Tamandua tetradactyla: one gene and its partner. The protein of the gene in region 1 purifies or fractionates together with the protein of each later gene. This does not show direct contact. Links are inferred from orthologs where the notes say so. Each region holds a gene or a part of one and is shown in the gene's direction. Other genes may lie near its edges. The genes, in order: FNTB and DYRK1A.

Region 1 (15,979 bases):
GTTACTGAACCCTTCTGTGCTTCAGTTTCCTCATGTGTAAAAAGGGTGTGGTATATTTAGAGTAACTACCTCACAGGATTGTTGGAACTATGAAATAAGGTAATGTGTGGTAGAAAGGATTCAGCACATCACTTGATCCATAGTAAGTATTCAGTAAATACCGAGGGACAAACAACACTCTGCAATGTTTTCCTTATGCATGCCTGGGTGATAAATCCCACAGATGAATATGGCCAAGGATGTTTTAGCTGAACTGAGGCCCTGTCCTACTGCAATTAGCCCCCTAGACCACCATACCAAAGTACAGAGGTCCAGTTTAATCCAACATGACTCTTTAGCTGCCTTTCTATTGATCAGTAAAGACTCCACAGGCCGCCTTACTGGGTTATTAGCAGCTCTTCCTTTGCTGCACATGGAAGGTACAGTGTGTGTGTGGGGGGGGGAGGGGGGAGGCTGCATTCTTAGGTGGAGTCCTCAGTCCAAGAGGAAATTTCCCTTTGAAGGAAATGGCTTTCCTGGGCAAGTCAGGAAAGGGAGTGAGGTTTTCTGAACTCATCCAGGGAAATAAAATGCTCATACTGGTAAAAATGTGAGGATATTTCATTATACTGGGCTGACCTCAAATTCAGTAGCTTATATCACTTAAAAAAAGGGGAAGGGAGGGATGAATGGCCTAGAAATCCAAGCTTCCATTAACCATTCTCATCCTGGCTCGGCCACTTTTAGAGTCGTCTTACAGAGAACTTGTCATTCTCTCTCTGTCTCTGTCTCTCCACTCTATGAGGTGGAGAATCTAAGATTTGGGGACAATGTTAGCAAAAGAACCACATGGACTAACGGAGATAACAAAGTTTGCTCTAACTAGAGTCTTTGTAAATGAAATGCCTAATTCAATCCCCTCAACCCAGCCACTTAGTGGGACATTTTGGCATCCTCCCCAGTTCTGGTCAACTTGGCCTGGGTGAGATTTCAGTAGAGTTAGGAGACATCTGAGAAATGGTAAATGGATGCATCTCCCACAAGAAGCCTCCAAAAATAAGGCTCTCAGTTATGTTATGCTGATTCTTATCCCTCTCATCCCCCCACCCCCCTGCCATCACACTGAGCATGCTCCCTGTTTAAACAGCTGCCGAGGGCACCACTGTTTGATCTGCCCATAGCAACGGCTGAATAACTGGAGAGATGCACAAGAGAGGCAGCCTGCTGCCAGATCCCTGATGGGGGAGCCCTGTGCCTACCTCTCTTCCACACTCATACCTGTGTTTCCAATTCTAGGGTGTCTGTAGGTGATACACTCACTTGCAGAAAGATTTCTTCTGTCTTATCTCAGAATCAGGAGAAGCTGAACAGACACCACCATACCCAGTATTGTCCTCCATTTACATCCTTTTTCTTTTCTATCACTGAATAGTAGAGAATGATGGAAAAAGAAATCTGAACTGACAAGGAAAGAGGGGACAGAGCAAATTGTTAGAGAGTCGTTGGGGTCAAGAATCTTAATACTCCAAAGGAAACTATCCTAACTGTAAGTCATATTAATACAAAATGATCCACAGTACATTTCAAGTTGTCCTTGTGTCCTGGCCACTACCTTCAGGACCAAATTTAGGCGCCTCATCACATATGCTTTCCTGTGCACAGTTTGTTTTTAAGGAATTCTTTCATCCTATCGGAGTAGGAAATGAAAGTTGTGGTGTCCTTCCTGAGGCTTCCGGATAGGAGGTCTAGACTGTGACTATGGAGGATTTTGTGATGGGTGAACCTCAGCAGAGATCCCTCCCTTCATGAGACTGGAGCTGGGAAATATGATTAGCAACCACAGCCGTGCAAAATGTCATATTAACTTTTCCTGTTAAAATTATGTTTGCAGCAGTGGATCATTGTATTAGTTAAGGCAATGTGGCTTGCTCTAACAGATAAACTCCTAGAGCTCAGGGGCTCACACCTTTAAGATTTACTTCCCTTTCATGCTAAGTCTGATGGGCAGCAAGGGGTGGAAGTGGGAGTGGCTTTGTTCCCTTGAAGTCACTGAGGTACCCAGCCAGCGGAGGCTCTGCTCTCTTCAACAAGGGGCTCCTATTGTGGGATTCAATTGAATTTAAAAAGTAAGACATTGCTCTAGGAAGGACTGATTGCCTGCCCCCAAGGATTGGAAAACACCAGACCCCAGTTCTCTCAGGATCTTGGACTTTTCCTTTTTTACCGGAATGTCTATGTTAGAGCCCCTCCAAGATTGCCTTATAGACAGTAGGGGACGAGGGGCTCTAGGACACTCCCATCGGGAAGGTGACACTTCAGGATACTCAAAGGAGAGGGGAGATTTGACCCTGTGGCTATAAGTTAGCAAACTTCAGAAAGGCTGTCTGAAAGGAGTGTTAACATATACTATTGAAAGAGGTCACAATATTTACCCAGAAAATAATTTTGAATCTATAAAGTGATTATGCCAATTTGTCCAGGAGAGTAAAACACTGAAGATCTCTGTTAACTGAGATTTTTGTAACTTTTGGAACACATGGAGTTACCATTAACTGAGATGGGAAGGACCACGAGTATGCAGGTTTGGGAAAATTTGAATTTAGAGGGCTGCCATGGACATTGGCATCTAGTGGGCAGAGGGGAAAGAGGAAATAGAGGATCTAGAGTAGAAGGTTGTTTTTGTTTTAAATGCAATTCTACTGAGATATATTCACAAAGTATATAATCACCCAAAGTGGACAATCAGTGGTCCACAGTATCATCATCTAGTTGTGCATTCATCACCACAGTTAATTTTTGAACACTTTCTTGACTCCAGGGCACAACCAGGGCTGAGAGTCTCCAGTATGCACTGGAGACCATACTTCTGCTGTTGCCTTTTGACAGTCTTGAAAATCGTTTCTCAGATTTTTCAGTATGAACGATGTGTCCAGTTGGCTTCAATTTTGTCTCTGCTGTAAAATAGTTTTCACCATACTAAACTCCAAACAGAACTCAGGGTCATAATACTTTGTACAGGTTTTCAGTGAGAGTGTATGTAATTATTAATAATATGGAATGTGATTTATTTTACATCAATGTATGACACAAAATCATGCAAGCATGTAGAATTGATGATTTATTGATTTTTTTCCCGAAGCTCATAGTTCTCTGTGCCATAAAATCACTGTAGTCAAAAGCTGTTCTTTTTGGGTGATGGGAAACATTTTTGCATTTCCTTTTCTGTGCTACAGGAAATAAGAATTCATAATTTCCAAATTCTAATGTAATCATTTAAAGTTTTCAGGACGGACTATTTACTCTATTGAAAATATTACTGAACGCAAATGTTATATGTTAGAAGACCCTCTCTTTAAATAGATTAGAATTAATTACTCCTTCCCCAGTTCTCCTATTGCATTTTGTGTATGTCTTATTTTATATTTATCCATGTTTATTTATTTTCTATTTTAAACTATATTTATTTTCATTTATATATTTATTTATATTTTGTATTTTAATATTTATTGGAAGGGTAAGACTACTATTATGTTCATTGCCATTATCTTCTACAATATGTTAAACAAACAAGCACTCAAATGTTTATTATGGTAACTGGAAATCATTCAATTCATTTAACTCATTTATATAATGCCTACCATGTACTACCGAATACAGCAATGTGCAAAAGATACAAAAATCCCTGCCTTGTAGAGTTTACATCCTAGTTGGGGGGAAAGCAGACAGTAAACAAAAACATATGTAAAATATAAATTATATTAGCTGGTGGTAAGTGCTGTGGAGAAAAATTAAAAAGGAGAGAGGGATAGAGTATTACTAGAGTGGGAGGGTGTGGCAGCTTTATATAGGGAAGTCAGGAAAGGCTGAGAATTTGAGTAAAGACTATCAGAAGTGGGGGAGCAGACCATGCCTACATCTGGGGAAGGGGCATTACAAGGAGACAGAAGAGCAAGGGTACAAGGTGTGAGGCTGGAGTGTGCCTGAAAAAACACAGATGAGCAAGGAGGTCGGCATGGCTGGATGAGGGAACAAGCAGGAGAGTAAAAGAAGAGGTCAGAGATGTCTCTTGGGTCTTGAAGGCCATGGTGAAGACTCCTGAAAGAGAGGAGGAAAGGGCTCTGAGCTAAGGGTTGATTTTTTGCTTATATTTTTAAAGGTTCTGTAAGGCTTTTGCATTAGAGTTAGGCTGTAGAGGGATAAGAATGAAATCAGGGAAAAGAATTAAGAGACTTTTGTAAGAATTTAAGTGACAGATGATGATGGTTTAGATCAGGACACTAGCAGTGGAAATGTTCAGACTCTGGATTTATATTTTGAACAGGATTTATGAGGTGTGAAAGAGAGGTAGAAAGGACAGCTCCAAAGTCTTTGGGCAGGAAGGATGGAGTTACCATTAACTGAGACGGGAAGGACCGTGATGAGTACACAGATTTGGGGAAAAAAGACCAGCAACTCTGTTGTGAGATGTTAAGGGTTAAATGCCTATTAGCTATCTTTTAGTTAGGCATTAGATGTGAACTCTGGAGTTCAGGAGCAAGATCCAGTGGGAGAAATAAATCAGGGGGTTTCCATCCTAATGGTGGCGTTGAAAACATTGAGAGACTGCATGATCTCACAAGGGAGTGAGTGTAGACGCAGGAGTGGTCCAAGGACTGGAAACTGGGACAACCCCAAAGTTAAGATGTCAGGGAGATGATGAAGTAACACAGGCCAATGAGGCAAAAGGAAAACCAGGAGGCTGTGGTGTCCTTTATGAGGCAAGAATATGTTTTCAGGAGCAGGGAATGATCAACCATGTCAGCTGTTGCTTGGAAGTCAAACAGGAGGCCTTGATATGAGAACTGAGAATTTGCCATTGGACTTAGCAATATGGCATTTAATTGGGGACTTGACAAGCGCTGATTTGGAAGCCAGGTTGAAATATGTTCAAGAATGAGTTGGAGGAGAGGAATAGGAGATTTGGGTAGGGGTAATTATTTGAAGGATTTTTGCTCTAAAAGGAAATGAGAAATGGAGAGGTAACTGGAGGAAGAGTAGAACCGAGAGGGTTAAACATGTCCACCCCCCCACCCCCCACCTCAAGAATAGACAAATAACATGTTTTAGGGTGATGGGCACGATCAAGTAAAGGAAAACCTTGACGTTTAGGAGAGAGAAAGGAGAGTCGTTGGAGTAAAGTCCTTGGGTGAGGTCTGAGGAGATGGGTAGGAATTGGCCTTAGGTAGGAGCTTGGGAAGTCATCCATCCAGATGGATTCCATCCAGCACAGATGCTACTAGGGGAGTAAATGTGGGGAGGAAAATACTTTCCTATTGGGATAACAGGTGGTTTCTTTCTATTTTACAAACTTTCCAGGTTGTATTATTACAAAGTTTCACAAGATATTAAGAAGAGAAACAAATCATACAGACAGAAGGCTTGGGAGAGTAACGCAGCTTTAAAGCCTATCCTATGAGCGACCTCTAGCGGTTTATTTAAGCCATTACTCTTTTTTTCTTGTTTTTCTGCTTTTAATAGAAGGACAAATAGCACTCTCTGCATTTTTTTTAAAAAAAGAAACAAGTAAGATTTACAATTTAACTCAGGAAAAATATCAGGAATTTGAGTAAAATAAATCCAAGCCATCTGCAGTTCAAGCTGGGTTGCTATTGGTTATTAAGGTGTTCCCCTGTAACTACATCATTCCCTGTGGTACCAATACTTATATTCATTCTGCTTCTTTAACAAGTAGTTTTATTAAACTCAGAGGAAGGGAAACTGGCATATCACTGTTGGTCAGAAGCTAATCTTCTCGACGTTTACATAGAGTACAAACACCTTATATTTTCCATTTCTTGTTTCTAAAAAGACTTGTTTCAAAAGTCGACTTTTGGTTTTCACTGGAGTTTGCTCTGCCAGGAATGTCCCCTCACTCAGATAACCCTTTTCCCTTTGGGAGTCTTTCCTGATTACTAGATTACTTTAGGTCTTCTCTGTTACGCAATCTCACAACACCTTGTGCTTCTCACTCATGCCATTTTCCCCAACTGTAATGAAATAGTCAATGCTATAATTATTGTTTAATGTCTGTTTCTTTGGGTAAATCATGAGACTCATGAGGGCACAGACTATGTGTCTGGCTTGTTCACTGTCTCCTCAGCACCTAGCTCAGTGCTCAGCAACTGGGGGTTACTGAAATATTTAATGACTGAACAGACACTGTCCTGCAGGAGACTCTTGCCATACCCCTATTAACATCTTTCAGATCCCACTGCAGAGGAGGCTACATTTGTGAAACAGAGTTCTAGTTCTAGAATATAATTTGCAATTGCTTTAGGTGCATTTATACAGATGTAACAATTGTGATACAAAACTCTTCCCAACTACTCTTTTCAAAAACATAATTCTTGGGATTGAAATGTTAAGTTTCTAGCTCTTAAGCAAAGCAAGTCTTTTCAAAGAAGGCTGAATCCTTAAATATGACCCAGTGTTTATCAGGCAGTTTTTTTTTTTTTTCCAAAACAGAACTAAGGGAAAGACAATACGATGTCAACATCCCAGTCTAACCCATACAGTTCCACGTAGATTCCCAGATTTGGTAACATCCTGGCGCCTACAGGTCTTTAACTGCAATAGTACCATTAAGAGGGGCGTGGTGGTACTGTTCTCCCGTCTGCGGCTTTTATGCCATCTCACTGGCAACGGCAACCCTGGAATCTTACTGAGGGCTTCTATTTGAATGCAGACTGAGAACAGGGGAACGGTTGGTTATGAAATATCACACCACTGTTCCCTGGATCCTAGATATGTGACTTGAAATTGAGTGGGAGTAAAATGCTCTGAGCAGGAAATAGATCTTGTCAGCAAGTCTATCTGGAAAGTCTGTTATACAACCCCCACCCTCTTAGTATTTTAATTTTGGTACAGTCTTTTTGATGTGGGCCCTGAACGAGATTCTTTTCCTTTTTTGGGGGGGGGGGGGTCCAGAGGTAGTAGCAGAGTTTTCCTAATATTACAACTTTAAAATTGGTTTTATGGAGGCATATACAATGATTGATCCACACAATAAGAGTTATAATGAATACAAACATAGATGTTTATTTGCAGCATGAGCTCTTGAACTTGCTGTGGTTCAAATGCCAGTCTTATTCCTTGCAGGCTCCTGCTTGCTCCTTCCCCTGTTCTGACTCCCTGGAAACCAATATCCCAACGGGGGGTGGGGGGTGGGGGGTGGGGGGGCTGTAGATAAAAGCAACTTAGACTGCACGGGGTGAAAAAGAAAAGGAAGAAAGACAATTCAGATGCTAACTATTCTAAATATCACACGCCCCCAAAATGCCCCTCTTTTCTCCCTCCACAGGCGCCAGCGAGGCTCCTTACAGAGTACTGTTCCTTATCTCCCTCCTCCTCTCTCCTGGCCTTTACAGACTCCAGGTGGCCCAATTACCTCAAACGAAAACATTCTGAGCCAAGTGCTCCTACTTGCCGCCTCATCACTCACCCTCCCCGGTGATCTGCCGCGCTTATCATCCTCCACTGCTTTCCCTCCAACCCACTATGAGTCCTTAAAAAGCTTTCTGTCCTTTGTTTCAACGGAGTTGAGCTACTCTCTCTCTCCCTTGCTATCGCAGCCTCTGAATAAAGTCAACCCTGCCTGTTCAACATTGTCCTGTGCAGTTTTGTCTTTGATAAAGTCACTGACTCAGAGAAGCTTGGCCCGACCACCCAAACGAATTCATCATCCCTTTGCCCCTTAGTCTTCCTCGACGATCCTGTTATTTTCCTTCATAGCATTTACCACAAGTCTTCATATATTTCCTGTGTTCGTTCATTTTTAATTCTGTCCAATCTGCAGGGATCTTGTTTTGTTAACTTTTACATTCCTAGGTATGGTAGATACTTCATAAATATTTGCTTAATAAATGACTGAATACTTCCTTGGTTGCTTCCCAGATACTTGTTCCTTCCGCATTTTAGTTCCTGCTATTTCAAATGTAACCTCCGAGGGGACAGGAGAAAACGGCAATGCCCCGTTCCTCCATCACTGAGTAGTGAGACAGCAATGCTACACATTTGTTGAGAAGCAGTTGCCTTCTCCCAGGTGGCTGTCACATACCCAAAGGTGCACAATAATTCTATTAGCAATAGCATAAGGCTGATGGAATTGCTGTCGGACCTTTAAAGTTATACTTACTGGCTTTCGGGCACCTGAAAGTGCAAATTCCTGCCATTACAACTGAGAACTGGCATGGTGTTGAAGTTTTTGTTTTTAATTTCCCTAACGAACCAAGGCATCATCCTACGCCATCCTTCTGAAATGAAAGTCAAATGTACACATCCTTCCCACACTTCGGGCAACCGCTTCTTGCAGCAGTTCCTCTGCCCAGTGGGGGGCGGCAGCATCCCAGTGACCCACTCCCAGAAACGAAGTAGGGAGGAGGCGAGAGATTCGCGTTCCTATATATTTTGACTCTACCCGGTGTCCGTACCGCCTTAACCCGCTCGAGTTTCAATGCGCGTTGTTGCTTGAGGAAGCTGAGTCCTGTACACCGCCCGCTGTTCTCCTGATCATGGCTTCTCCGAGTTCCTTTACCTACTATTGCCCGCCATCCTCCTCCCCCGTCTGGTCGGAGCCGCTGTATAGTTTGAGGCCGGAGCACGCGCAGGAGCGGTTGCAAGACGACTCGGTGGAAACAGTCACGTCCATAGAACAGGTGAGGTGGCGGGACGGGGCGAGACGCCCGCGCGGGGACTGCTGGGCGCGGGAGTCGGTCAGCCGGGCGCCGTGGGAACCCACCGTGTCCGCGGAACTCGCCGGGAACTACGACTCCCACAGTGCACCAGGGCGCCTCCCCGCGGGGACGCTGTAGGCGCCCAGGTTTGGGCTTCCGAGCCGAGCTTTCATGGGGCCGGGTGGGAGAGGGTCACTGCTAGGGTTGGGCCTGGAGAAGAGGGCAGTACCTGCGTCCCGTCTGCCTTAGGAAGCGGAGGGACTCTTGTTCTGTGACTGGAGGGCTGAAGCAGCCCGGGCGGGTCGGAGAGCCTAGTCCATTCAGCAGTGGCAGCGGGAGGTTCTCGGATGAAGGGTGCACTTCCCTCAGCCTGTTCAGTCTCAGTACATAGAGCAGAAAGACTTGGCCAGACTGCACTCATGTCGGTCCATAACCTGTTTAATTTTTGACCTGCAATACCATATTTGGGGCTTGCGTGGTAGGTGAATATCATGTTAGTCGTTCAGTCATTTGAGCACCAGCTGTGTATTGGACACAATGTTAAAAGCTGTAAATCCAAAGATAAATAATCGTACCCCCTGTCCAGGAGCAGCGTACTGTGTAGTTGGAGAGGCCAGAAAGAAAAACAATACAATTTGGAAAGTGTTACAATAAAAGTATGAATTTTGGACTACTTGTCATTCGCTAAGGCCTAGAGGTAGAACTGAACCTATCACTTTGAAAAGAGTGTTTAGGAAATGAGTAGTGAGCTATAGTTTTTTCTTTTCATTCCCCAATTGGAATTTTTCCGAGTTAGTTATTGTGGAAATGCTTACCTATCTGTTGCCTGGAGAAGTGGTCAGTCAGGGTGTTTATTTTTTAGCACTCACATTAGGCTGCTTGCTAATAAGATCTCCTAGTAAGATCAGTTTCTGGGCTTAACCTTGGTGGGACCTGCCTTGTTTTTCATACCTGAAGTTGGAAGCCTCTATTTAGGCAAAATTAATGGCAATAATTATAATTATTATATTGTGTATTTATAACTATGACTATAAATTAACAAAAAATGAGGGCCTAAGTACAAGGTTATGCACATAGTAGCAGAGAAAATAATGGAACTGGAGATTTAAGCTTCGTGAAGTGTAGGGTAGAAAAGGAAACCCTTACCTTTTGAATCAAGGTCCCCTGGTTAGTTAACCCATTATTGCTTCCTTCTACAGAAGTCATTTGCAGAAGATTGCAAAGAAATCTCCCATCAATGAGAATTCTACTTGATGTTTGTGATATTTCTAAATGATGGATTGTTGAGTCAGGCCAAACCCTTTTTTGTGTATCTGACCTTGGACTGTGAGGTCACCTTTTATATAGTTAACTGAATTTACCCAGTAGATTAGAGTATGGATAGGTTGCTGGTGGAAAAGGGATTCAGAAGTTGGTCTGTTACTTTTAGAGACCTGAACAGGGACTTCCAGGTTAGAGAGGCAAGTGGAAAACAGGAATATTATGGGGAGCTTTTTCTCTTTTTCTTTTACTACTTTTTTCATTCGAGTGTGTTATAGTTAGGTTGAGGTGTCAACTTAGCCAGATGATAGTCCCGGGTTCTCTTGCTGTGGACTTAAATCATCAGCATGTAACATTCATCTATGGCTGATTACATCTTCAGTCAGCTAGGGGGAGTGCCTTCTTCGATGAGTGATGTTTAATTTAATTAGCTGGAGGCTTAAGAGAGAGAGGTCAGAAGAGAGCTCAGCACAGCTCAGCTCAACACAGCTCAGAACCCAGAGCCAGCTCAGACCCAGACATTTGGAGATGCAGAAAGGAATCACCCTGGAGAAAGCCATTTTGAAGCCAGGAGAGAAGCCCAGCAGATGTCTCCATGTGTCTTACCAAATTAGAAAACTTATAACCAAATAAATCCCTTTTATAAAAGCCAGTCCATCTCTGGTGTATTGCATTCTGGCAGCCTTAGTAAACTAAAACAATTGCCCTGCAGAGTTCCTACCAGGAAAACAACAGTACTTATGTTCTAAGTACCTAGGCGCTATGAGTGATGCAAAAATGGATACAAGAAGGTTCTGCTCTGCAAGAGGGTGGGCCAGTGACAGGGCCAAGACTGGAGGTAAAGTTTTAATGTGGAACACTGATGTTATAGGGCGTCTGTCAAATCTGGACCCAGCTATATGGTAGATCATAGAGCATCTTGAATTTCTTTTCCATGTCATTACTTCAGCTCACATTTTAAAAACCAAGGATAAGTGGTTCAAGACAGTAGGAAGGTAATGTGGTATGTGTCTCACAGCTGCCTCAATGTTTTGATAATCATCATGATGACTTTTATTGGGTCCCAGCATTCAGTCATTTTACAAATAAGGCAGCTGAGGCTTAGAGAAGTGTTGGGTTGGTAGGTTAATAATGGTGTATTCATCAGACATATTAACCTTCCTAGGAGAAGTTCATTCCAAAGGATACCACTGCTTTGGGTTCTGATCGAAGCTTCCATTTATTCACAGAGATTTACTGACAGAACTCAATTTGGTGCCATAGTCAATAAGAACAAGAGCTTACTCACCTGCCTCCTATCTGATTCTCAGGAGACTTTATTTGTTTGTTAAATAATAATCTGATAATGGAAGTTAAACCTTAAATGGTGAGAAAAGAGCCCTTTTCTATGGGTTGTTCTGTTCCATTCATTCATTTTCATTTATTAATATTTCATTAACATATGCTTGAGTGCCTTCTATGTGCCAGGCGCTAAGGCAGTGAACAAAAGATGCCAAGTTGATGCCTTTATGAAACTTGTTCTAGGCCTGGAGAAAAAGGGGGGAAAATGTGTGTGCACAGTATGTATTGTGTCATCAGAGGCTCCTTTTCTTATTGTGCCATCTGGAATCATCCCAGTGTAAAGGCTGTGTGATTCAGGCCAGTAGGTTAATAGTTGCAGAGGAGCAGCCTTGCAAAAAACAGTTGTTTATGGAAGATACTACTCCTGTTTTTCCTTTACTTTGCCCTTAGACAGGGGCAAAAGCATCCCTCATTTCAAATAGCAGGTTGTCCTTATACTATATTTAATCAAGTGACAGTCAACTCTGAGGGGAAATAAGGAAGAATTATCAGTCTTGGTCCTTGCCCTTAAAATTGTGTTCTCTTAGAATAAAAGAATTTGTCTGAAGCAATCACAGGATTATTATGACAGCATGTGATTATGTGCTAAATTTATAACTGTATTGCTGTAGGTTTTCAGGGAGTGAAAGAGCCATCTGTCTGGGCTGAAGCAGTTAGGACCACTTCATGGAGAATTTGGAATTAGAGTTGGGCTATAAATGGAGTTTGGACCTCCATTCCACTGGGAGGGGTCATTAGGAGAGAAGACCCAGGCTTGGTTGCAGACAAATGAAGAAAAGGCTTATAGGGAATGGAGGGTGCACATTGAATGTGGTAGGAAATTAGGTCAGCTCTGTGGGTAGGTCCAGATTGCGGCCAGGCTGAAGTACTAACTTAGAGTGATGGGCAGGAAGCCACTGCAGATCCTGAAAGAGGTCACAGCCCGGGGTTCTAGGAAGGAATTCTAGATTCTGCTGATGTTTCTAGTTATAGTTTCTGAAAACCATTAAATTGAGTTGGAACAAGTAACCAAATATGATCATGGTTTTTTTTTGTTTTTTTTTTTAAAGGTTTCTGATAGAAGGGGCCAGAGCTCTGCTTGGCTGAGTGGTCAGTAGGTTATGTGAATCTGTTTTTACTCTATTTTATTCCTTATTGAAATTCAGTATACTATATATGCCCAACTATAAGGCAATTCCAAATATCAAGGAGTCTCCTACTTTCCCTGTAAAAAAAAAAAATCAAATAAAAAAAATTATAAAAATTTAAAAGTCCAAATAATGTTTTCTGGGCCACTTGAAAATACATGTGTGTAGGTGAATCTAATTAAATGTCTACTTTAAAATTTATGTTTTAAATTTAGGTAATATGTCTGTTTAAAATCGCAGACTTTGTAAAATAACACAAATATTTCTGTCATTACTGGAGCCACTTTTTGAGTCAGCCAGTATGGTTTTCAAATCATGCTTTAAGTTCTTTGAGATACATCTTTTTCCAGTGTGTGTAAGATACTGTCATTGAATATTAAATCCCTAGCTACAAGTATCCATTTGTATAACATTAGTATTTTTTGTAATGTGTCCAGTTGGTGTGATCGCCACAAGTTAACCACTTAATCTGTTACTTTTTAAAGTTATCTTTAAAAGTTGGTTTATATTGACTTCCCACACTTGGAACTGAGTTTATATCCCCAGGAATACTTGCTAAATCTATGTGTAATTTGGCCTCCTTTTTTGCTGATACCTTCAGCTTTCCTTCTATAAGCAGCCAAAACCAGCCCTTGACTATAGTTGTTTTAGGTTAACGCGTCACCTCCAACTGGTACTTTGTATTCAAAATAAAGTAATTGAAAGAACTCCCAACTGTAAGAGGAACTGTGTAAGAAAGTGATTGTAAAGTGACTTTTCTTTTCTGAGAGATCTTTTTTTTTTTATGAAAAATCCTTGCCTCATATTTAATATATTAGTAATTCTTTTATTGAAGCTTACGCATTAGCATAAGTCTCAGACAGCAAATCTGCTTTCTGGAAGGACCCTCCTCGGGAAGAGAGGGGGAGATGTAGAAAAGAGGGTGGTAATAGTCCATGAGATGAAAGTTGGTGCTCCATGAGATTGGTTTTAGATAGAAGCTGTGAAAGAGAAAGTACCATATGCATTAATTTGTTTTTAACACTCATCTGGGAATGGAAATTATTCTGTGCTTCTACTGATTGGTTTTCTAGAAAAACTCCATGAGATATCTTTTAAATAGAGCTGTAGAGAATGTAGACAGATGGTTAGATCTTTCTTTATAACCACTGGCCTCAAATCTTAGTGACTTGGTTGAAATCACTTAATCTCTGACTCTTAGAGTCAAGCACAATCTCTCCATCTTTTGAAAAAGACAAACTGTATGTATATTAGTTCATATTATATATAAACCATATATACACACACTGATATGTATTTATATATACAAAAGAATAACATAACAGCTATTTTCATCTATAACCTAGAATTAACAGTTGTTAACATTTTAATTTTTTTGCTTCTGGTTATTTATTTAAAGAAAAACAATTACAATATAGCCAAAGTCTCATTTAACCTCTATCCTCAGTTCAGTCAGCTTCTCACCCTATCCAGAGGCAACCTCTGTCATGAGTTCATGAGTTCAGTGTGTATCCTTCTACTTACTCTTTGTGTAAGGTGTGTTTAAGAGTTTACACAAATTGCATCATACTCTGTTATCTTGCTTTTTTAACACAATATTTTTTATATCCAAATTAATGTATGCACATCTCATTCATCCTATATAATTACTTTTTCTTTTTTTTTTTTTTTTAACATAGGCAAGCACTGGGAATCGAACCTGGGTTTCTGGCATGGCAGGCAGAACTCTGCCTGTTGAGCCACCATGGCCCGCCTGCTATATAATTACTTTTTTAAAAGCAGTTTTATTGAGTTATATTCGCAAATCATATACCATATGTATCTACTTTTAAAAGGTAATTTTCACGAAAATGTAAAACCATGACTCTCATACAGATATAAAATTAAACGTGTTAAAAATTTTATTTTATTTATATGAGAGAACCAGACAGATACTGTGACCAATTCAGAAGAAAAGTCAGAAAGCAAAAATTTACTTTTCTTGTAAAAATTGTGGATGAAGGTAAAACTAATTTTGTCACAGTGGAGATGACTTTATGAGACAAGTCATGGGGCACAAGATCAACACATAATAATCATTGTGTTTCTGTACACCAGCAATGAACAATCTGCAAAGAAAGCAGTTCATTTTACAATAACATCTAAATAATTAAAATATCTAGGAATAGATTTAACCAAGGATGTGAAAGGCTTATACACTGGAAATTATAAAACATTACTGAAAGAAATTAAAGAAGATCTAAGTAAATGGAAAGACATTCCATAGTCATGTATTAGAAGACTTAATATTGTTGAGATGTCAGTACTACCTGTGCTGGTTTGAAAAGGTGTATGTCCCCTAGAAAAGCCATGTTTTAACCTAAATACCATTTCATAAAGGCGGAATAATCCCTATTCAATACAGTATGTTTGAAACTAATCAAATCATCTCCCTAGAGATGTGATTTAATCAAGAGTGGTTGTTAAACTGGATTAGGTGATGACATGTCTCCACCCATTTGGGTAGGTCTTGATAAGTTTCTGGAGTCCTATAAAAGAGGAAACATTTTGGAGAATGGAGATTCAGAGAGAGCAGAGAATGCTGCAGCATCACGAAGCAGAGAGTCCACTAGCCAGTGACCTTTGGAGATGAAGAAGGAAAACCCCTTCTGGGAGCTTCATGAAATCGGAAGCCAGGATAGAAAACGAGCAGATGACACTGTGTTCACCATGTGCCCTTCCAGCCAAGAGAGAAGCCCTAACTGTGTTTGCCATGTGCCTTCTAACGTGAAAGAGGAACCCTGAACCTCATTGGCCTTCTTGAACCAACGTATCTTTCCCTGGATGCCTTTTATTGGACATTTCTATATTAGTTTAATTGGGACATTTTCTCAGCCTTAGAACTGTACACTAACAACTTATTAAATTCCCCTTTTTAAAAGCCATTCATTTCTGGTATATTGCATTCCTGCAGCTAGCAAACGTGAACACTACCCAAAGCAATCTACAGATTCAGTGTGATGCTGATCAAAATTCCAGTAATCTTATTTACAGAAATGGAAAAGCCAATCATCAAATTCATTAGGAATTGCAGAAGGCCCCAAGTAGCCAAAACCATCTTGAAAAAGAACAAAGTTGGAGGACTCACATTTTTCCATTTTAAAACTTACTGCAAAGCTGTAGTAATCAAAACAGCGTGGTACTGACACCAGGACAGACATAGATCAACAGAATATAATTGAGAATTAAGAAATAAACCCTCAAGTCCATGGCCAATTGGTTTTTTTTTAACTCTTAAAATTGAATATATATATAGTATATATACTAAACAAAGAAAGAAAAAAAAGCAACAGTTTTCAAAGCACTCTTCAACAAGTAGTTACAGGACAGATCCCAGAGATTGTCATGGGCCACCATACCATCACTTCAGATTTTTCCTTTTAGCTGCTCCGGAATATAGGAGGCTAGAAGGAATAAATATTTTTTTATCATTGCAGTTGACTTTTTTTTTTCTTTTTTGTGAAAAATAACATATATACAAAAAAGCAATAAATTTCAAAACAGCACAATAATAGTTGTAGA
Region 2 (16,898 bases), on another chromosome or scaffold:
ATGTTGATATACCATATTGTTTTAACCAAGACCCAATGTTGGACATTCAAGTCATTTCTAATGTTTCACCATGATGTCACTTAAGGATGTTCTGGAAGGATGGAGGGGGTCGACCTGGGGAAACACTGCATGTGAGCAATTGTTGAAAGAAAAGAAGATGTTTAGCCTAGGAAAGACAAGACTCAGGTGGGAAAATCACAGCTTTCTTCAAATATTTGAAGGGCTGTCATTTGGAAGAGAAAAAAACTCATTCTGTGTGGTCTCAGACGTGAAGAATTTGAAGCAGTGGGTGGAAGCTGTGGGAAAATGAATTCATAGTGTGCGAAGATGAATTTTCTATGTTTAAAGACAGCCAAAGAAGTTTTGGGCAACTTCAGCAAGTAGTGAATTTCCAGCCCGTGAATATGCTTAAACATAGGCTAAAAGGCACTTTTCTGACTATAATGTATTCACACTTACAATAGAATGACCTAAGTATTTCGAGAACATGGAAGAAGAAACAATTATATATATTTTTGTCTTTAGAAGGTTCCCGAAAGTTAAAATTTGTATTTGGTTCTCTTATTCTTTATATTAGGGCCAAATATTTATATAACAATCTACAGTTCACAAAGTGTTATAAGTAATCTCCCATCTGAAATGGGAAAAGTGAGATTCAGGGAGGTTAAGTAAATCATTCCTACAACCAGTAGGTAACTGAAACCAAACTAGAACCCAAGTTGTCTGTCTCACGACCACTTTTTTCTCTAGTTGTTATTATTATTATCAAGGTCACTAATCCCTTCCAGAAAAGGCAGATTCACAGGACATTATCTATACCCTACTTCATCTCAAGAAAATGAAAACATCTTCAGTGACTAATGTGAACAAATTGTCACTGTATAGTTACCAAATAGACTCTTCAAACTGGAAATTCCATCTCTTTTCTTCCCATGGCAGAGACTTCATGATTAGAGTTTTGACAGGTAAGGTGGGGCATCTTCCACCTAATATCTTATGATTCTAAGGTGTCTCGGGCACCTTCCTCTCAGGACAGCACTCCTTTCTTTGGTGGTCTGAGACCCCTCAAATTAATTTACTTCCCTATTAGCCTTCTGTCTCATATTTGCCTCCCACTCTGCCAGCTCAGCGCTCTGGAACACAGAGCTTCGTCCCTGAACTCCATCTGTCCTGTTGCAAAGCACACAGCCCAGAAAGTGCTCCAGCCGAACGCAGAATCTTTTTTTTTTTTTTTTTAAATATTTTTATTGCGAAATCTTCACACACATATAGCCCATACATAAGATACAATCAATGGCTCACAATATCTTCACATAGTTGTGTATTCATCACCATGATCATTTTTAGAACATTTGCATCACTTCGGAAAAAGAAATAAAAAGAAAAGAACTCGTACATCCCATATCCCTTATACCTCCCTCTCATTGACCACAAGTGTTACAATCTACCCAGTTTTTTTTACCCTTTATCCCCCCCCATTATTTATTTATTTATTTTATCCTTATCATTATTTTTTTACTCATCTGTCCATACCCCGAATGCAGAATCTTTATTCTTGTTTATGGCATCCACCCCGAGTCCTTGCCTCCAACTCAGCACTTTTGGGCTAGACGATCAAGAAGAAAATGTCAAGATTCTCTTTTGGGCGCAGAAAGGGCCTGGTCCTGTCTCGGGTAATCAGCTCCCTGCCTCCGCTTACCCCACCTAACCAAAGCTAATCAGAAGCTCCCTCTGATAATGAGCCATCGGCCACCTGAAAGACACCCCCATTTAAGTCTAAATCTCCACCACTCGCCAAAGCTGCCCGCTTCTGCTGCCCTTCCACTAACACCCCCCACCCCTTCAGAAAGTCTCATCCAGTACAGGAGGGCATGTCAGGGACAAATGACCACCTCCTCCCAACCCTAGAAGGTAGGGCATCCTCTGGCTTTTCACCATTTCCTGGTTTCAGCTGCTGGTACACTGCATCCAGCTCTTGCTTTTTTGCAATTCCTTGGTAACTATGTTCTTTCAAATACATGTATTTGGTGCCCAGTGTTTACCAGGTATTGGGCTAAGCACTGAGCATGAAAGAGAACGGTGACAGAGACAGGTCTTTGCCCTGGAAGAACTTCCTATTCTATGGCAAGTGGAAGAGGAAAACATTCACAATGAAAATACAGGGAGTAAGTGGGTTCTTTGAGAAGGGAATGAGACCTTCCAGGGGAGAGGACAGCAAACAAGAAAGAACCAGTTGTGTTCCGGGAGCTTAAATGGGGAAGGGCGTGTGGGTAAGCCCCAGCAGAGGCTGGGAGGTCAGATCATGACGGGACTGAGGAGCTGAACTAATGAGAATGAATGTCATTCCAAAAAACACTAGGGGAGACCTTGCAAAAATTTCAGCAGGTAGTGATGTGATATTGGGATTTTACACAGATTCCCATACAGCTTTAGAAAGAGCACGAAAGATGAAGGAGCCAGGGAGGCTTGTGTTTTTTATTTTTTTCTATTCTGTTGGGATTTTCAAACCATGTTCTGAAATTGTTTTTATTTCAACAACAATAACAACAAGATCAGTGGCTCCTTTTGTTTTATTCTTTGTACTCCTCATGATATATATTATTATATAAATGATACATTATATAATATGATAACATAGGACATATCATATATTAACATGATGATGTTAATATACGTTAAACACTTTTTGCTTTTAAAAGTCGGGAAGTAAATCCAGATGTGAGATTGGACAGATTTGTTGCTGTACTTCATGTATGGGCTTTTTGGTGGGTGACCTGCCTGGAGCTGCTGATAGTACAGGCAGGCTGGAAGCTATTATTTTTGCATTTGGGATATAGCATGGGTCTAATAGGCTGGAGGGATGTCAACAGACTTGGCCACACAGAGATCCTGCGCTGTCCAATGAGAGAATACCCAAATCAACTGTTTCCCCCCGCCCCAGATGGGGGGCTGTGGGGTGCACAGGAACACTGGTTTGAGAAATTCTGCTGTGCTGCACTAACCAGCTACATGGTTGTTGCTCACATTACTGTATCTCTTCAGTGGAATCTTCTTTCTGCTTTGCGGACTGCAACAATCTTTCCTCTAGCTAGGAAAATTCCATTTACTTTCAGACCCAAAGAGATCATTTCCCGCTTCTGTACAAATCACTGGAGAGTTCCCCCTAAAGTTTTATGACCGTTGGCCTCATGATGGATGGAGAAAAATAGGAAGAAAATAGCAGGAGCTCAATATTAATTTAAAAATACAAAACAAAACAGTATTTACAGCATGCCAGATATTGTGCTAGTGACCCAAAGATGAAAATATAGTCACCTTATCCTTGAAGCACTTAGTTTGGAAACCAATGTGCAAAAACAATATAATCAGATGATACCACTGTCTCAACCACATGCATATCTCTCGTATTGAATTGAAACAAAAATATTGAAGACATCAGCACTAAATGTCATACCAGTAAGCACTCTAGGAATATTAAATGATGTCTACTACATACCTAGATTTAAAAGCCTAGGAAATAAGCCAAAATGCTTAAGAACTATTGAGCTAATACCCCATTGAAAGAAGTTACTTTCGTAGACTACTGTGCCTCCCACCTAATTTTTAAATCCATGTATTTAATTATTTTTCATAGTTTCATTAGGTCATTAGCCATTTTACATGGATGAATCAAAATATAAAAGAGACTTCCTTTTCAAGTCTTGCCAAAATGTTGCAACAGGTTTAAGATATTCCCAAATAGTGTGGAATATGCATTTTAATCTAACAATTTCTTATTTTCTATTTAACCTTTATCTTACTGTCATGGGAAAAGAAAATGTTAATGATAATTCATGGAATAATGTTAGTAAACATTCTTACCTAGTTGGAAGGCAATGAGTATTGCTCTTTTTTTTTTTTTTTTTAATGGCACCATTAGAACCACATCTTGGCAGAAAATAACCTTTCAAGCAACCTTAGGATGCTGGTAGAATGGGTCCGGGGAGCTCTGGAGCTCTTGATCCTTGTGTCTGGTGAAGAGGTGGTGGGGGATGCAAACCTGATGATACTAGGAGCCAGGAGGAAGCCTGACACTACACAGGGCCAGAGCTGGAGCGGCTGCGATGGTGGATGAGCGGTGTCCAAACACATGAGCTAGCCTAACGACAGCAAATGGCCTTCCAATTTCCTTTTCTTTCTTTCTTTTATTCCAGTAAAATTGCCAAGGAGAAATCAATAAAAAGATGATCTCTCTCACCCTCCAAATGGGCAAAGGATATAGACAGGCAGCGCACAGACAGCCAGTACACATATTTAACAAATCATCAAATGGTCAAAGACATGTAAATTGATACAAGAGAGTATGGGTAAAAGTCATGCTTGCATGATACTTTTTCCAGCGCAATTGGTGAAATCATTTCTGAGGGACATTTTGGCAACATGAATCAAGAGCTTTTCATTTCGTAAGGAAGCAACTGGACAGGTGTGCAAAATGTTAATATATAATGTTCGCGCAGTTTTAATTGTAGTGAAAAAGTTTCCTAAAAATAGAGGAGTAGGGAGTGCATGGGTGGTTCAGTGGTAGAATGCTCACCTTCCATGCGGGAGACCCAGGTTCAATTCTCGGACCATGTACCCTCCCCCCCCCCCCAAAAAAAATAGAGGGGCAGTTAAATGAACTATGGCTCATTCAAGAGATGTAACCCTATGCAGTTGTTAAAATAATTATCTAAATTTTAATCAACATAAGAAAGTGTTCATAACACGTGTGCGTGTTCTATATATGTTGTGTGTGTGTATGCACATGTGTTTCACTAAAAATGCCTGGAAGGTTATAGGCCAACATGAAGAGATTAGTAAGATTTACCTCTAGGCAGGAGGGGGGTGGTTGTGAGTGATCTTTATTTCTATATTGTTTTCTGTATCGTAAAACTTTCTGGGTTGGTCCACAGTGGCTCAGCAGGCAGAATTCTCAACTGCCATGCTGGAGACCCGGGAATCTGGTGCCTGCCCATGCAAACAAACAAACAAACAAACAAAAAACTTTCTGTAGTGGCATTTTTACTTTTATTTTAATATTTTTGAACTTCTGATGTAGTGAATTGAAATTTAACTTCTTGGTTCATAGCACACTGAAACCGTTGTCAGTTTATATCAGGCCCCCTCTTTTTCATTAGAGAAGTTATAGGTTTACTCCAGAAAATATGCATAAAATACAGAGTTCTTATATAGCACCTTATTATTAACACCTTGCATTAGTCTGAGACATTGGTTACAATTCATAAAAGAACATTTTTATAATTGTGCTATTAACTATAGTCAATCATTTACAATAGTGTTCACTGTTTTGTGTTGTATAGTCCTTTGGTTTTTTTTTTATTATTCTAGTAACATATATACAGCTCAAAATTTATCCCTTTAACCACATTCACATATACAATTCTGTGTTCTTAATTACATTCATGTTGTTGCGTGAACATCACCACTCTCCAGTACCAAAATTTTATGATCAACCCAAATAGAAATGGATTAACTCCTTATTCCACCCCATGCCCTGGTAACCTATATTCTAGATTCTGACTCTATGAGTTTGTTTATTCTAATTATTTCATATCAGTGAGGTCCCCCTTTGTGTTTTAATTTATTTTGTTTCATTTTAATCTGATGTACATGCACTACTTTTCAAATCAGGACAAACCTTAAAGCTTGGAAAAAGGGAGCAATAAAGAACCTTCACTGTGAGGTCAAAAAACAGTAGTGGTGACAGATTCTGGACCATGCCGCTGTCCAGGGAGGACTTGTGAGCCCTTCACCTTCTCACCTGGTGTGAGGAGCAGAGCTAGGAATACTAGTAAGCTTGCTTATTCTTGGAAAGTTTAGGCCATAACTCCTAGCAGGGGTCCAATTACTGAACCTTTGAGCTCAGTGTCATGAGCCACAAAAAGTGGTCCCCAATCGTGTGTGGACCAACCAAAAGAACCCACCATCTTGGCGCCGATCTGGTGACATGGGCACTGCATCTCAGTTTTATCTGTATTCCTTAGCACAGTGCCAACCCCTGGAAGGTGGGCACCTGGTCAGTGAGCGCCAGACCCTGGGTAGGCACTCAGTAAATGATTAAATGACTGCTGAATGAATGAATGAATCTACCATATTAACTTAAGAACAGATTTGTTTGCTGTGAGTTTTTCTCAATTAACAGTTCGAGTCTGAGATGAGAAAAGTTGAACAAACAACCAGCAGAGGTGAAGTTTTTCTTTCCACATATTTCTAATAAGGTTGTCACTGTTCTGTGCTGTCATACAGACTCCTTGGGAATAAGTATCAATTCCATTTAGTATTTTTATCTGGAGTCAGGTGGCGATGGCACTAATTCCAACCTTGAGGAAATAAATATCCAGAGCTCTTTACATCATAGGAAACACATAAGAAGAAGTGGCAGAAGAAAAATTCTGAATTTCTTAGATATTGGCACTTGAATTTTAACAGAAATCATCTTGGTGTAGTGGAAAGAACCTGAGCTTTGCAGTTACATCTGGGCTTGAATCCTGGCCTCATCATGTACTGGTTTGTGACTCTAGGAAAGTTACTTCATTACTCAGATTTGTTTTCTCATCCATAAAATGGGGATAAAATTTGCTGTGAGGATTAGAGATATCATAGAATGTGCTCGGTAAATAGAAGCTTTTATTACCTTTGCTTTTTAGGTTATGATCTTCGTTTTTATTGGTTAACTTCTACGAAAAGACACATCTGGTAAGTGGATCCGTCTAGGAGTCTCAGATGACAGCAAGGATTTGATCACCGAACCTGATCAACACCAAACTGGCATCTATGCCAGAGTCCTTTCTGTCTACATGTGTTTACCTGTTTGGAGCCAGCTATAATTTACAGGCAAAGCTTATTTAAAACCACTTTACAGCATTCAACCTGACACAACAGTTCGTTAATCAATGTTGTGTAAGGTTGATCACAATATTGGGGGGAAAAAGGTGTTGCCTTCTGGATATGAAGATCAGCAATACCTTCTATTTCTGCTTGTCTATAAAATCAAGATTCTGCCTCACTCTGATAATCTTCTAGATTGCCTCGACTAAAGACAAGAACACAGTGCCTGAGACTTTGCCTATTCTTTCAGGGTTACCAAGAAAATTAATTATGCAGGTTTCCTCCATAAACAGCAATAAAAGCTTGACTTGACTTTAGTTTAGTGTTAAAGATTGTAAATGCTTGAGTGTTCTGACAAAAGTGAAACCATGGTGAATGCCGACAGAGGAAGGAGTTGGATGAGTAGTTCCATTGCCTCGGTATATCAATATTCTCCTAACTGTAGAAAGGAAACATTTGTAGAAAAACATTAAAAACAAGCATCTTTCTTTGAGTCACATAGGACAGGGAGCAATATTTATTATAAGAATGTTTTTCCTTATACCTAAAATTGTTCATAAGATTCTATTTGTTGATACTGTACTTGTGGGCACTAAAAGATAGGGAAACCAAGCTTAGAAAAAAAAATCAATAGATCAGTGCCTTTTGGTGTAGTATATACACACCCACCCACACACATATACGCTTTTAAATTTAACAGGTAGGTACTATTAATTTGGATTTGTACAGATTACAGTTTTCACTCTGTGGCTGTGGAATACAGTAACCAGCATAGCGTGCCTCAGTTTTAATGCTTGGGGAGCACCCCCAGCAACATTTAGCCAGACAGAAAGAGTAGTCAGAACAAAATTAAATGAAAGCTGGAAGAGTAATAAAGAGTTTTGATTGTTCAGAACAAGTGGCCAAATCAAGAACCCGGAAGCTGAGAAGATACATCAAAAAGAAAACCAGAGAGTTGGACTTACGACAAGGATACAGTAATAATAGCCCGAGAGGATTAATTTAAGGGGAATTCCGAATGAGAAGGAAGGCTGTGCCCAGATAGGTGGGGAGGGTACGGGAAGGTTTGAAACAGGTGGGAAACCATGAAGGAGGGTGCACAGCCTTAACAAATTTTTATGGGGGGGCTGCACTCGTAACTATTGGACGGTGGCAGTAGTTTCTACAAAAACCAAGCGGTAGGACTGAATTGAGGTGCCAGCCGTAGGGGCATCCCTGGTTCCGGGGAAGCGGCCGGAATTCCGGAGATGCCCAGCCCCATCGCGGCCTCCGCGGGCATTTTCCGGCGAAGGGGAGACGTGAGTCCTTCGAAGAACAGTTTCAACCCACGGACGTGTGCGCCCAGGCCACCGAAAGAACCCCGGACTAGCAGGGAGGGTGCATCGTCCGCGCGTGCGGCCCGGGGGAAGCGGCGGGCTCCCGGGCCCCGCCGGGCGCCCGCAGAGCCCCGCCCCCCGCACGCCCCTCCCCCGCCCCGCGCGGGCGGGGCTGCGGGCGCGCGATGCGGAAGCGCCGGGCTCCGGGGGCGGTGGCGACGCGAGCGGGAGGCCGCGCGCGCACCTGGGGCCGCAGTAGGCGCGGGCGCGGCGGGAGCAGGGCGGGGCGGCCAGGGAGGCAGTGGGCGCTCGCGCACAGGCCGGGCCTCTGCCTCGCTCCCCCCTCACCTTCCCTCCCTTGGACCGTCCGTTCCTCTGGTCTCCCCTCCCCCGAGCGAGCGAATCACGCGCCCTCCTCTGACACTCGTAGCGGGCCCGAGCTCCGAATTTATCCTTCACGTGACCTGAGGGGGTTGGGTGGTTGGTCCGGGATGGAGGGGGCGAGGGAAAGGAGGGAACGGAATCTGCCGTTACCCGAGCAACAGGCCCCGCCCGCCCGTTTTGGGCCAGGGGGCGGGAGGAGGACGTCAGCACGTCAGCCGGGGTTTTGCGTTTTGATTGACAGTTGCTATAGCGACCGGGTCGGTCCGTCGCCATTTTGTTGGTTGGTTTTTTTTTAAACCCTTTCGCTTCCCGCCCGAATAATAATAAAAAGCCCCATTGGAGTGAGGCGGGGGTGGCGGCGGCAACAGCGGCGGGGGGATCCGGGGAGACTGCTGCTGTTGCTGCTGCCGATCGCGGCCCAAGTCGGGCGCAGGGAGCGGACACCCCGAGCGGGGGGTGCGGGTGCCGCCGCCGCCGCTTCTGCTGCTGCTGTTCCTGCTGCTGCTGTTGGTGCCGCTGCCGCTGCCGCCGCCGGCGAGCGGGCGGGACCGGTGTGAGTGTGAGAGTGTGTGTGCGAGCGAGCGTGTGCGAGGGCGAGTGTGCGTGCGTGTGTGTGCGAGTGTGTGTGTGTGTGTGTCTGTCTGTGCGGGACTCGGGGGCGGGCGGTTCGGGCTCTTCTGGCGGAGGAGCCGCCGCGGCCGCCGCCGCCGCCGCTCGGGCCCCGGCGCTTCTCGCTGCGCAGGTTTGGAGCGCGCGCCATTTTGTGAGATTTACAAAATCCTCCTCGGGAAGAAGCAGCCGGGAGCGGCCGCGACTGGGCGCCCGGCCTCATCGCCACCGCCCTCAGCGCTGGGCCGGGCCGCGCGGCCCCGCCGCCCGGGAGCCGGGGTCCGGGGACTGCGGTATTTGCCGGGAGGGGGCTGTCGCCTCCCCGGCCCCGGGCGCCGCTGGAACCGCGCGCCGGCGAGAGACTGAGGAGGCTGCGGCGCGGGCGAGGAGCCGAGAGCGCCGGGGGCCGAGAGAAGCGGCCGGGGCGGCGTTGGCGGCGGAGGCCGCGGCGGGAGCGAAGCGGCTGGAGCCCGAGGCTGAGACTCACCGGAGGGAGCGGCGCGAGCGCCCCGCCATCGTCGCGGTGAGTGTCCGGCCCGGCCGCGGCCCCGCCCGGCCGGCGCTCGGCTCCCTGCGCGGCCTGCAGCCGGGCCCGCGCCGAGCGAGGTTGGCCGGGTGGAGGGAGGGACCTGCCATTTTAGGAAGCGGCGCCGCGGGCCCGGGCCCGGCCGCCGGGGGAGGGAGCCGAGAGGCCCGGTCTCGGAGGAGAGGCGGGTGCGAGCCGAGGGAAAGTTGCGGAGGGCGGGAGGAGGGCGCCGCGGCCTCCGGGGAGCCGGGGCCTGGGGGCCAGAGAAAGCGCAGACCTTCACTGGCCGCCCGAGCGAAGGGGAGGAGGTTGTCTTCCTCCTCCTCCTCCTCTTCCTCCTCATCCTCTTCCCCCAGCTCCTCCCTCGTCCCTCCTCTCGGTCCCCACCAGTGTGGGAACCGCTGGGGTTCTTGGCAAGGACAATGCACGGTTAAGAAAATGGGGCCGAATGCGGGCTGAGACGAGGGCGGCCGGGCCGAGGCTGGGCTCCGGGAAGGTCGGAGCCGGATCCCGGGGCATCCCTTTGGGGGTCTGAGCTCGAGTGAGGGGGCTCGGCTTGCTCGGAAGTTGTGCGGGGAGTGCAAGTAATAATCCCGGCCACTCGAGAGGAAGGAATGACTTGTTTAGCGGCTGGAGGAGTTGGTGACTGGGGATGGGTGAATTATAATTGATACCTGGCTAAGACGGCGAAACTTCGCAAGTCTATTTATAGACCCAAATCCACTCTCGCTTGGTATTCACCAAAGCTGCTGAATACCTCAGCACTTAGCAAGACGCTCCTCCCTATTCGACAGTAGTTAAAAATGGCAAAATTAGTGAGTGCTTGACTCCGACTACTTATCTGTGTTTTTTACCCAGCCCTAGATTATATGACTCCTGTAATCTGGCACTCGAATACCGGCACGGCTTGGTTCTTAATTTCGCCCAAGGATCAGAAAATACACTTTATCACATGGTTTTCACACGTATCCAAAGTTCAAGACCAAGAAGTGGCAGGCGCTTTACGTGTATTAATGATCCCATTGGCAGGAACGGTTGCCCATTATACAGATGAGGACCTTGAGCCGTGAGACGGGTAGTGACTCCTCCAAGGTTACACGGCAGCGGGGACACGAAGAGCCGGGAGGCTGCAGGAGCTGGGGCCCTTAACCACTACCTTATGAAACTCGTTATTATAAATACTTGAGAATTTTGGAACCGTTTGTGTGTAGTGACTCAGGGTTCTAACTTAGAGGTTGTGTCCATGTCTAAGTCTAGTGTTCAGCTTAGAGTTAACTTTGGTTTATGGAAGTGGAAGGAAAGGGTTGCGATGAGGCCTCCTTAATGAAACTTGTCAGGCTCCCCTCTCACACCACCTCCTCCCCCACTCCCCCCCCCCCCCCCCCCCCCCCCCCCCCGCAAGAAAACCATGTAGTCAGTTTTTGAATGGAAGGGATTGAAAGAAAACTTTTTGGTGTGTATTCTTGACAATACAAATTGTAGTCATCATTGAAGTATTGATGACTCAAAGTTTTGTGTAGCTATTTTTAGTCATATTTCATCTTTAAATATGTAGATTTCCTCTATGACACTTTATACTCTACATATATCAAGTGTTAGTAAAAATGAATATATTTAGTTCTTTGATTTTGGAGTATTTCAATAATTCAGTAAAATTATCTTTAGTTTTTGTTTCCTTAGATTTCTTATACCTTGATGGTTCATTTACTTTAAAAGAATATTATTTTAAATTAGATTATAAGCATGAGACTGGAACTACTAAAATTCCATGTGCTGAGGTTTTAAAACGCAAGAAGGTAGTTTCAGAGAAGCAGGAGTTAAGAAAAAAGTTTGCTTGGTCATAGTTAAGATTTTTAATGTACATATGTCTTAGGCTTACCCCAGTATTCTTAGAGAATTTACCTTGGAATAGCAGTGGTGTTTATGGTAGCTGTCCAAATGGTTTAGACATCAAACCTTCCCAGAAAACGAAGAACTGCTATGAATGTCTACACCATGTTCTGTGTAAAACTGGTGTAAAAGCGCACATTTATTTCACAGAAACATAAGTCCAGAAATTAATTCTAGTCTCATCCATGTCTGTAGGGTGGGTTTGTAACACCTGGTGGATATGTAAAAAAGAGTTTAGATTTGAAGGAATAGAGTTGTAGGATGGATGACTGGTCATCATTGATTGGTAGAACCAGTGATAGAGGGGAAATGGATCTTAGGATATCTTATTAAGAATTTGAAATTTAGGTATAAGATGGTTTCTTAAATGTATTTAAAAAAATTTTTGGTGGGACCTGTTAGAAATGTAAACATACAAAATTATTGTGACCTAGGAATTAAAAAATTAATAAAGTGCAGTCTGTTAAGAGGCACTAACATTCAAAATAAGTGGGAAAAATCTATTAATTTGCAATGTCCTGTTTGGAAATGTGGATAGTTAAAAAGATTCTTGGGTAGAATTTTTTCCCCTCTAGAATATTGTCTGATGTCTGTCCCTCAGATTTACTTATGGATAGTTAGTGCATTTATTTATGATTTGTAGCTACCACGTGGGATGGGTAGTGGTCAGTGTAACAACCAGTATTTGCAAAATTTACTTAGTTTTTTCGTAGGTGGTCTGTATAATTTAACTGCAAAAGCAAAATTCGAGATAGCTTATTTTGTACTTGTACAAAGAAAAATTGCTAATTTGCATTGAATTTTGGGTATTACTTGAAAACCCTTTTTTTTTTTAAAGAAATAGCTTAGAAATTTAGACTGCCCAGAGGTGTTTTCACATGTTTATGTTTGGCAAGTATATAGGTATGGGAAGAAAATTTGGATAGAAATAACTTTATTATGGGTGTGCAGGGAATTGCCTAAGATTAATAGAAGAGGAGGCTTAGAGATTTGTGACTCAATATATGTGATAAGATGTGTATCAGTTTTTCTTTGCTTTGGTGTTAGCTTTTCTCTTATCCCAAAGAGCTTTCCTATTTCTTCTAAAGATATTTTTTAAAAACCCTCCTACCCCTAGGAAAAAACCCTAACCATCCAAAACCAGCAAACCCTTAAAATTTCAGAAAGAGATTTTATAAGAACCTGCTCTTCACCCTCCCCCCCATTTTACCAGTTGTACAGTTTTGTTGTACTCATCGGTAATTTAAACTGTGAGTTAATTTCGTTGAGGAGTGTTTTGATGTTTTTACCTCCACAGGCACTTGTATATTTTCCATTAAGAAGTAAAGAAATTAAAATTCAAACATAGTCACCTGAAACTTGATGCTGACACAACTTGCCCTCACAAAGTGAATTGCATGACTTGAATAATAGCACCTTCTGTGTACAAAGTGAATATGCCTCTTAAGACTTTTTTTTTTTTACCATATGTTATCTTGATAGTTAAACAATTTTTTGATTTTTAGAGAAATTGTGGTAATTCATAACTCAGGGCTTGCACGTTTTTGGATTAAAAATTTTGGGTGTGTGTGAAAATTTGTGTTTAATTGCTTGGAAAAACCATCAAATTAAATTATCTCAAATTTCTCTCCAGGCATCCCCAAACGTAGGATTCTTCTTTAGAAATCTTGCCTTATATCGGTGCTGTAATGTTCAGCTAGAGTTGTAAACTTTACTATTGGGTACGTGAAAGTGAAATGGTGTCACTTCATGTGACTAAAATAATTATTTTGACTCTAGTAGCTACATGTAGCCTTAGTTTCATTTTTGGGTATATGAAAACTAAGTGATTTGGGAATATTGTTGTAAAGTAGCTAATGGTTTTTAAAAGTTAGGCTTTTGCTTTTATTTTGAAGTTCTACTTCTAAAGTTCTGTAACTAGTTAAAAATCTTTATTGGAAAGATAACTTAGAGAAAATAACATTGAAAATTTGAAATGATGTGCTTCCTTATCAGCATACTTTTATGATAGTCTAGAACAATTTTAGTTTCTTGTGCTAGAGTTATGTATCCTTTGTTCTAGAAGGTGATTTTTTAAAGTTCATATTACTGTTAGAATGAAGTTTTGACGAGAGAGAGAGAGAGAGAGAGAGAGAGAGAGAGAGAGAGAGAGAGAGTGTGTGTGTGTGTGTGTGTGTGTGTATGTATGGGAACACGTGCAGTTGTAATAGTTTAAAATGTACCCTTACTCTTATTGATGAATTGTTTTTGAGTTTTGTCTCCCTGTAATTGAATGATTATTTAAATAGATTTTTGGAGGGCTCAGTGAACTGGCTAACATGGAATGAAATGGCTTTCCTCATTGATTCTATTTTAAATATCATCCATGTGTATTAATATTAAATAGCCCCTTAATTTTACTAAGTATTTGTCATTTCCAGTGATAAGGGTTGATTATTTTTAAAATTTCATGGACATTTGTGGTTAAGATTGACATCTCTGTGTTATGTATTTCAGTAAAAAGATGCTTTACCATGACATCTTTCCAAAGTCTGATGTCTAGTTGTAGGTAGCAGTTGAGGCAGCCTGATACTGTGGAAAGAGTGTTGGCCTGTGAGATGGTGGTGAGCAAATGATCCAGACTCACGCAGACCTGGACTTTTCACAGTTTCTGCCACTCCCTGGTGCTTGTGACTTCAGGCACAGTGATTTCATTAAGCATCAGTTTCCTCATCTGTAAAGTGGGATTGATGGTACTGGCTGTAAGGTTTTTGTGATGATGGTGGTAATGCCTGTGAGTTTCTTAGAAGCTCTCTCTCCCCCCCTTTCTCCCTTCCCTTCTCTTCATTCATGCTTATCCTTTTGGTGTCAGCATAATTAGCACTTCTTCAGAGAGGCCTTCCCCAAATCCATAGACTATGCAAGGTTTTTGGCCATGCGTTGTTAAGGACCTTCTGTTTTTCACAGCCTTTATCACAAATAGGTATTAATTATGATATCTTTTCTTCTTTCCCTTAGATTGTGAGGTTCATCAGGGCAAGAATAATGTCTTTCTTGATCATGGCTGTAATTCCAGTGCCTGCCATATAGCAGGGGTGTGTGTGTGTGTGTGTGTGTGTGTGTAGACAAATAGACATCCTACCAAAGACCACATATCCAAGACTGTTTTGCAGATAAATGTGGCCACATGACCAAGTTCCTGACTATTTGGGTGAGAGTAGAATTCATGACTGCAGCCTCCAGATTTTAAAGTGGTGAGGATGTACCTCCTGCACACTCCCGTTTTGCACATTGCATTCCTGGATTGTGGATGTGGTTGGGAGCTATCTATTACTATGTAGAAAATGGTAGCTCCTTAAGCATTAGAAAGCAACAAAACAAAAGGAACCAATGTTCCTTATAACATGGAGCCACCATGTAAACCTTAGACTGTTTAAACTTATTTTGATGTGGTATGAGAGAGGAATAAATTCTTGTTTAAGTCACTATTTGATCTAATTAATGCACATAGGAAGTTAAAATTTGTAATAAATATTAATTTAATAGCTACCTACCAACTCTAGAGCTGAAACTGCAATTGTATATTCTCATTTCAAGTCACTGCAATGCTTGCTTCCTATTGGGTAACCCACTACTGAAATGACTGTACAGTACCACCTTATGTTTATATGGCATTTTACACTTTTACGGAGACCTCATTTATAGTACCTCATTTCACTTTTCCACAGATCTGAATAGGTCATATATAGGCATGGCATATACAGGACACTGAGGCTCAGAGAACCTGCTTTGCCCAAGATTACACAGCTAAGGAGTGGTACTCAAGATTCAGCATATAACTTTCTCATTCTTTCATGCTATATAAGCTGCAAAGGATGTTTGGATATGTGGTCTTTGGTGGAATGTCTGTCTGAAAATCTCTGTTACTACTGAAGAAAAAGAGAATGGAGGACACTTGATCATTGCTTGCCACCCTTTGAAGGTTTTAGAAGAAACAATTACAGAAATAAACTACAAAAAGACAATTTATTGCACTAATTAGTGCTTTGTTTTCTGTATATGGTCATTTGAGCTGTGATATACAAATTCAAGTGAATCATCAGTTATCAATATATACATATATGTAATCAGATTAAAAGAAAATGTGGCTATACTTTTAGAAGTGAAGGGATTTTGTGTCCAGTGGCACATTATTTTCTGACACTTTGTTTTCTGATGGAAACATTATTCTTGATTGCTATGATTATGTGTATGTAAACAATATTTGGAATTTAAGCTTTTGGATTTAGTTTTAATAGTCTCCTGGATCATACTGCACATATTCCTGCTCATATCCTCAGCAAACAATACTAGAATGACACTTGCATCTTGTCAAAGTTTTAGTAAATGTTTGAGTCACTGGATGTTGCAAGAAGGATGATAGCAGTGATGTTTAAAAATATATTTAGGGGCGGGCCAGGGTAGCTCAGCAGGCAGAGTTCTCGCCTGCCATGCTGGAGACCCAGGTTCTCTTCCTGGTGCCTGCGCATGCCAAATATATATATATATAAATTTAAAATGTATATATATATATTTAGTGACCAGTATCTTCCTCTTTAACTTCTGTGGCCTTGAGAAAAAGGGAAACTATATGATTCCTTTGAACTATAAACTATTATTAGATCTGGTAGGGACCAGAGAAGTGAGTGGTTCTTCAGTAGTCTTTTGGAGAACTTGAAAAATTGTGGTATTCACAAGCTCAGATACTTTTCTATAGGTTCAGGGTAGTGCTTTGAAATTTGTTTTCCTAATAAGGACCCCAAATAATTCTGATTTGGTCAGAACATTTTGAGACACTAAAACAGTTCATCTCTCTCATTTTAGAGAAGGAAATGGACTCAGAGAAGCAAAGTGACTAGCCACTGCCTCAGAACAAGCAGCCTGGGACTAGCATAGTTTTTCTGACTCCTGGTTCTTTGCTCTTTCTATAGAAGCAGGAAGAGAGGATGAGAAGTAGAAGGTACATTAGAATTTTATAGAAATATCTGTCATTTCATGATATGTTGCTTTTTTTTAATGTGTGAGCTTTTTGGTACATAGTGAATAACAATGGCTATTCTGTAGAAAAATGTAGTCTGACTGAGTCACATGACTATTTAAAGGTGAAAAGTTGAAGGTTTAAATCAGTAAGGTGGTATTAGTGTCTCGAGAGTAGTGGGCACTGTGTCTGTAGCATTAGGATAGATGCTCATGTGGCATAATTAGAAGAAACAAAGGAAGGTTTTATCCCCAAATTATTTTCCTTTTTATCCTCTTGATTGCATTTCTCACTGTTGGAATTTATTTCT

The links.
Region 2: the proteins of FNTB (region 1) and DYRK1A purify together in Homo sapiens (affinity purification with mass spectrometry; 3 studies listed by BioGRID, counting the BioPlex papers as one). This does not show direct contact. The link is inferred for Tamandua tetradactyla from reciprocal best matches to the Homo sapiens genes FNTB and DYRK1A.

What each region holds. Positions count from the first base shown.
Region 1 is NC_135338.1:22,225,901-22,241,879, forward strand, and holds the start of FNTB (protein farnesyltransferase subunit beta), read left to right. Parts: upstream 1-8,426; 5' UTR 8,427-8,528; coding exon 8,529-8,672; intron 8,673-15,979. UniProt on the Homo sapiens protein: Essential subunit of the farnesyltransferase complex. Catalyzes the transfer of a farnesyl moiety from farnesyl diphosphate to a cysteine at the fourth position from the C-terminus of several proteins having the C-terminal sequence Cys-aliphatic-aliphatic-X.
Region 2 is NC_135336.1:104,631,711-104,648,608, reverse strand, and holds the start of DYRK1A (dual specificity tyrosine-phosphorylation-regulated kinase 1A), read left to right. Parts: upstream 1-9,588; 5' UTR 9,589-9,699; intron 9,700-16,898. UniProt on the Homo sapiens protein: Dual-specificity kinase which possesses both serine/threonine and tyrosine kinase activities. Exhibits a substrate preference for proline at position P+1 and arginine at position P-3.